Linked DNA regions of Kluyveromyces lactis. The protein of the gene in region 2 interacts with the protein of the main gene of each other region in a biochemical or structural test. Links are inferred from orthologs where the notes say so. Each region holds a gene or a part of one and is shown on either strand. Other genes may lie near its edges. The genes, in order: ECO1 and MCD1.

The links.
Region 1: of the proteins of MCD1 (region 2) and ECO1, one has a biochemical effect on the other in vitro, tested with the Saccharomyces cerevisiae proteins (3 studies listed by BioGRID). The link is inferred for Kluyveromyces lactis from reciprocal best matches to the Saccharomyces cerevisiae genes MCD1 and ECO1.

Annotation. Positions count from the first base shown.
Region 1 is NC_006038.1:585,933-588,893, forward strand, and holds ECO1 (Eco1p), read right to left. Parts: upstream 1,475-2,961; coding exon 659-1,474; downstream 1-658. Other genes in the region: phosphoprotein phosphatase CDC14, read left to right, coding at 1-483; putative uridine kinase DAS2, read left to right, coding at 2,889-2,961. UniProt on the Saccharomyces cerevisiae protein: Required for establishment of sister chromatid cohesion during S phase but not for its further maintenance during G2 or M phases or for loading the cohesin complex onto DNA.
Region 2 is NC_006042.1:1,366,582-1,370,667, reverse strand, and holds MCD1 (kleisin alpha), read right to left. Parts: upstream 2,475-4,086; coding exon 672-2,474; downstream 1-671. Other genes in the region: RQC1 (Rqc1p), read left to right, coding at 1-559; ATP16 (F1F0 ATP synthase subunit delta), read right to left, coding at 3,687-4,086. UniProt on the Saccharomyces cerevisiae protein: Cleavable component of the cohesin complex involved in chromosome cohesion during cell cycle. The cohesin complex is required for the cohesion of sister chromatids after DNA replication.

The DNA.
Region 1 (2,961 bases), on a different chromosome or scaffold from region 2:
CAGGAACCAAGCGATGTGATCGGAGGACTATACCCATTGATCACCGTGGAAGAGTATAAGCAGCAAAAGAGAAAGAAGAAAGTAAATTACGAAGCAGAATATACCCAAGATGATCATACAATGACTCCTCCGTCTGTATCAAAGAAAACAATAGGCTTTCAAAAGAACTCGCATACCGCAGTACCTCAACAATCTCCTGGTCAACCAAGAAAGGGACATGGAGGCAACACAATCGAAGACATCAACAAGAAGGAAAACCAGGTTGCCGCCAAGATTACCGATAATAACAGTGACATAGATGATTCCATGAATACTGATAATAGCATGAAAACGTCTCCAAATGACACAAGACAAGTTAACAACTCGTCTATAGAAGACACAGACGCATTGAGACAAATTCTGCCTAAAAACAGACGTCTGGCGTCATCAAACGGAAAAAGAACCACCAGTGGGGTCAGAAAGATATCGTCGAGTAAGAGATAGAGATTGACCGTTGTACGAATATTTTGCCTGTGTTGGTTACAGTTTTGCAAGTAGAAACCAAATCAGCTTTCATATCAATTTCACATAATTACACGCTTTGGTTGCAACCGTCTATGCAGTTGGATGCTTCTCTTTTATTCGTTTCGTTATTCATCTACTTGCATACTAATATGTATCATATGTAACACGGTATTAAAAGTTTTCCTGAGCGATGTTTTGCAGCATTATAGCTTTTAGCCAATATGCTACCGCTTTGGCTTGGTTGTGACCATGCCAGTTCCCATTTATTGACAATACATCCGTATATTGATTTCTTCCTTGCGACCTCTAGTAGTCTTGTAGCAATGCCATGTTGCCTTTGATTTCTACATACCCATATTCTCGATATTCCCAGTTTGACGTCCGGTACTACATTCGGTACTATGGCTTTGGTGTCCAATACCATCCATTTACCTCGGTTGGTATTCTCGATGTACTCGATTGTAATAACTCCAACAGCTCTATTCTTCTTTACGTAGATAAACGCTTTACCTTGTGATTTGCCGGACTTATCCACCTCAGACCAAAAAGCATTCTCATCATGAGGTGCATTTAATTCTTCATTTACAATTGACATCAAGTCGAGTGCAGCCTTCACTTCGTTAGCTTTCTTTGGAGAAATCATGACAATGTACTCATCTTCTTCATATAAGGTTTGGGACGGGAGTTGAAAGGACATCACTTTTTTATCCTTTTCAGACACCATTGAATATTTCAGTTGTTTCTCTGTTTTAAGAGCCTCTACTCTATTAATGATGTCGCCCCAACTCTGAGACCACCTTTTCCCATTTAAATGTAAGTCATGATATCTTTTGTGCTGCACCAGATCACTAGGAGAATTAGTGCTATAAGTTATCGAACACTTCGGACATTTTACCAGAGTTGGGGTCGATTTAAACTGTAACGTGGCTTGAATAGACTTTTTAGTCTTTGGTGACCGATATTTGGACATGTACGGTTGATTGGAGAGCTTTGATTGGTGGCAATTTACTGACGCGTTTTTACTTTTGATAATTACACGTTAGAAAGTGTAGATCGATTTATATTTCAGGTTGAAACAAGGGTATTGTTCATGAGAGAAAACTGGTAAGAACGGTAAGCAAAGAGATGCTGCATTTACCATATATGCCTCTGTGTATCCAGTTTATGCAATAGGGAACCAATTACGAGAAAATCGTGTATTCTTCCTTAGAGCTAATGGAGTTTGTCACATGGTTACCATGTTGTGGTATGTGACTATACATGTCACGTGGCTTTGATCTTATCAGATCTTTATTAGAAGAATCCATCTTGATTAGCTATATATCTCCTAGAATAATTAGATGCACCTGGTGTCTGTAGATCTGATTCCTACTAATTAGTAGATTAGATCTGAGTACTGGTTTATATACTTTGTTATGTGTCAGTGACACAAAACCATTATTAACCGCCTATTATATTTGTATTACCCGGTCATGCGTTATGACTAGTTCCAACAGTCTGTATACTAGTTCTACATTCTTATAACATGTCGTAAGATAGACTTAAGACAAGCCAGACGAGAGGTCATGTGAGCTAGCCAGCACACGGCAGAGTTCCAAGACGTCAGTGACTGGGCATATGGATCCTGTGGTATCCAGAGGGATGACCTAGATGGATCATAGACGGTCACGTGATGGTCTTGAGTGCGCGTGGAGGACGGTAGCTGCACAAAACCTACAAGGGCATGGAGGCAATGAGTTGCCATGACGAAGTCTGACGACCATCCGAGTATATAAGTCGAGTATAAAAGGCTGAGCTATGTTGCGACCTCTTGGGGAGGTTGGATGCAACAAGAGAAAGAAGAGCAAGGACGCATATACTCAACGATCTAGCTAAATAGATTATATTATATTCGTTATATTGTTTGATATCAACGATCCCTCATCAGGCGATTAATCAATCAACTATCATCCAAACCATATCACAACATAACATATTAATTGGGCGTGTGGCGTAGTTGGTAGCGCGCTCCCTTAGCATGGGAGAGGTCTTCGGTTCGACTCCGGACTCGTCCATAATTTTTTGACTTTTTGAAAAGCCATTTCAGCATTAATTTCTCAGTACATAAAATTACTATGTGTATGCCAAGAGTCCCAGCTCCTTTTATGAGAGATCGTATTTTTTGATTAGACCATTGCTGCGTTACAGTTTTCAACCCTCAATATTTATTATCACGACTATTCAAGCAGTAATCGCCTAATCATTGTTCATTCGGGATATTGATGAATTAAGTCATAAAAGAAAAATATGCACTTTTAGACGACCAGGGAGACAACTGTTGAATACAAACACGGCGAACAGCAGGTCTTTCAAATACTGTTTTGATCATTAGTTAAGGCAAAGTAATGTTGCATCGTATAGTTATCAACATTGCTGGCGGTCATTATGCTGGTGCTTTGCAAACCACCAAAGAAATCG
Region 2 (4,086 bases):
AGTGTTACTTGGTGATCCATCCAAATTGAAAATTAAATTAAAACCTCCTACTGTGAGCGCTTCTATCGAGACAAAAGCTTATACTACTAGAATGGGCGCCATTTGGAAGGAAGCGGAAGCTAAGAAGTTTTTACTTGATGAGTTAGCAAGCATTTTTAATTCCACTTCGTTTGACACTGATGCAGTGAAGGATATAAATGATGGCGATGATGATGACGACGTGGCGCCAACATCATTCTTCATCAATAACATTCCAATTAATTTGTTAAGGTTTGCTATTCTTTCTCAAGAGTCATCCGTTATGGCTGCTATTCCCGAAGAAATTTGGTCAGATCATTCTGTGTTTGAATTCGATGTACTACCACCACAACCACATGATAGAGAAAGTGAGTATGTAGTAGAAACAATCGAAGGACTAATTGATAGTAAACATCTAGAAATATCCCAAATGAACAGGTTCGCTGATGAGGAGCTTTTACAACACATTAACCAGTTATCAATACAAGAATACTTGGAGCAGCAGCAACAACAGCAACAACCAAATGAAGAAATCGAATAGCACAACAACTTGAACTGATCTGCCGTCATGTATATTTAAACCAACTTAAAAAAACAGATATTATTAATTATTTATACATAATGTCCGTTATAAAAGTATCCAAATTAAAAGTCTATGCGGTAACAAACGTCTCATATAAGTTTGATTTTCCTAAAATTGTGATTTGTCCAAATGTTTCCTTCTGTTTCAATGATATACAGTCTGCGGTGGCAAGAGAAAGTAACTCAAAGAATGCTTTACTGGCCATTCTTTTTGTTATTACCGCGTTATCCTGGTACTTCGAAGTAAGGATTTTATCAAAAGTAGCTTCACCGGAGCTCATTTCATCTCTCAGTAGAGTTGCCATTTCCACTGTAGATTTAGACACGATTTCACCGGTAGCAAGCTCTACTTTTTGACTTTTTTCCTTTTCAATTGACCCACGAGAGGCAAATTCGTCTGATTGAATGGCTTGGTAATCATTTTCTTCCATGGATGTATCAGCTGCAAGAACTGGAGGTTCATCATCAGCAAACACTGGTCCTTCTGATTCTGCATCAAAGCCCATTTGTTGGTGATCGAATGGATCAGAATTGTGTACCAAACTTCCATCGATACCCAAAGAGATATCTATATCAACATCGGACCCATCAGATTGGCTGGATTGTGACAGAGCTCTAGGCTTCTTTGAAGCTTTATGGTTGAAGAAATTAGATATAATCTTTTGAGGAAGGAAGTCCAGGTCAGAGTATAATTCATCGATGGCTCTTTTTTTCTTTGATATAGCGGACGAAGTCTCATCAGAAACGATAAGAATTGAGTCCGATGGTCCTCCTTTCACTTCAGAATCGTTTAATTCGGCATCAGCATCTATGAGAACCTTCTTAACATTGATAAAGGCTTTATTCCTTGGTGCCCTCTTCTTTACTGCTCTAGGTGGTATGTATGCCTCTGCTTGCTCTTGATGCTCTGGTTCTGTGTCCTTTGGCAGCCCTAGATCAAAGTCTAAGAGTGTATCATCATGCAATGAGTGAGTAATATCAGCCCTTCTCCCGATCTCTACAGACATGTCGCTACCATGGCTAGACTGATTACCAGAAATATTCTGATCATCATCGTTTAATCCCAAATCCCAATCATCGTTAAGTGGTAGCAATTCATCATCATCGTCATTGTCATTTCTAATAGTCAAATCACCTTCATTTTCTCCATCATCCGCGTTTACTTCACTAGCAGTAACACGAGTCCCTTCACCCCATGATTTAGTGTTATTGCTTTGATTAGAATCACCAAGGTCAAAATCTAATTTCAAATGAGATGAATCGTGATGTTCAATAGCATTCAAGTCATCATCTTCATCTGCCAGGAATCGCCTTCCAACTTCTAAGGACATATCCCATGCTTGTTGTTGTGCTGCAATGGCGGATGTTACAGGTGCTGCTCCTTGCACTTGTCTTTCCATTGATCGTTCAGCGATCAAAAAACCTTCTGGCACTTGGATATCTTTCAAGAAATCCAAACTGGGCATCTCCAAGACGTCAAGTTCTGTAACCGCATCTTGCAATAAAAGCTGATCTAACTTTGCCACTGTATCTAGCTGAATTGTGACGCTCTTGTTCAGCGATCCCTTGAAGATAGATTTCACTTTACTCAGTAAGTCTGTGATATCAGTAAGCAGATAGGATGCTTTTTGAGAATAAACTTTTACAACACCATGTAGTAACTCACCGGAAGCACGTAATGTGATAGGTTCCACAGATTCATCATCTAGATTAACACCTGCAGCTTTGGCAATCTCTTCAACAGATTCCACGATATTAGTCTTTGCAATGTTCCGATTGATGCTACTCAAATTGGAAGCCAGCCAGATCTGAGCCAACGGCCCATTGCTTGTATTTAATCTCACCTGAGTATGTGAATTGCTATTTGGTGGCATATACGTTGTTTATTTTTGGATTAGGTGATATAAGGCTCGTGGTTCCTGTTGCAAATGGTATAGCAAATGGATATAAACTTAAGATCGAGATTAGAACTTGATCTTATAAGGAATGGTTAGCAAAATAAAAATGAAATAAAATAGCACTGTGTCTTTTTTCAGAGGTCACGACATTAAAATTCCATAGGTAATATATATATTTGATAAAATTATTGGTAAAGGTGCAATCAATATGATGGAATAGACATACTTCTCATCCAGTGTTTATCAATGATATTTGTTAAAGGATTGCTGGTTATAGATCTCATCACGGAAACGCGTTATGGAGAAAAATCGCGAAAATATTTTTGGGGGAAAACAATGTCTTTTTCTGGGACCTCAAAAGATTTCCCGCCGGAAAAATTTCGATTTCGTGGTATAAAATCCGGGTAACAAGTGAGGACCTTATACCCATTTATTACCCTGCCTTTCTAACTCTTGTTGATGCCAAAACCAGATCATCTCTCTCAGTATGCGCAGTCAGTTTAATCGGTATATATGAATATGAATCTTAAAACTAGACATCAGTTACACACAAATCGTTTCTGCTAAAAAATATAAAATCTAAGTCTTTCAATTCGGTTCTTAATTGATAATATTTTTAACGGGGATAGACAAATTATAATCGATCCAGTGTTTTCTTTGATATTGTTAGAAAGGAAGGAATAGTATATTGAAGAAAGATTTATGTTTGTTGGTCATTAAAACAAAGACTAGAACCCCCTTTTGAAACGGAATCGAGACATCACTTGTATCAACCTCCATATCATTTAGAATTTTTAGGTTTTATCGTATTTATTTCTTCTGATTTCTTTTAATTCGCTGGGTTTTAATTCGTTGTATATTTTAGTAATAGTCGTTTTAGGTTAATTCTCAATAGTTCCCAGTCTTATTCGTACGTTCACACTACAGTATTGTATGGAAAGAAAGGACAATGACCGGAGCAACAAAAAAGGGTCTTTAGGCTAAATCATGAAATGTATTCGTCGTTGTGTTGTGTAAGCTTGTGCAATGGAATAATAGGAATTAGAATAATGAAAAAAAAGCAGACGAAGGATAATACAAACGCCGAGACAGGTTTACAATCAACCGGGAAAACAATTGCTTCCAAGTAGAGTATCCGTATCAAGTGTATTATACCTTGGTCCAATTGTAATTCTTCGTTCATCTCAATTATTTCAAAGCGGCTTGCAAAGCTTCCAAAACTTCAAGTTGGATAGCAGCTTCGGCAGCAGCAACTTCGTCAGCAGAGGAGACGTTCTTTTGAGCTTCAGCCAACAGAGATCTAACGTTTTCTGGAGAGAAAGACTCTAATGGGAATGCTTCAACGGAAGTGATAGCCAAGGTAGAGTCTGGTTGGACAGTAGCGAAACCACCGGAAACAAAGAACTTCTTAGAAGAAGAACCTTCCAAGACTTCAACAACACCTGGAACCAATTGTTCAACAGTTGGAACGTGGTTAGCCAAGATACCGATTTGACCAGACTTAGCTGGCAAGTTGACTTGGGTAACTGGAGTACCAGAAAACAAGGTTTGATGTGGCAAAGCAAATTGCAACTTCAAAGCACCATCG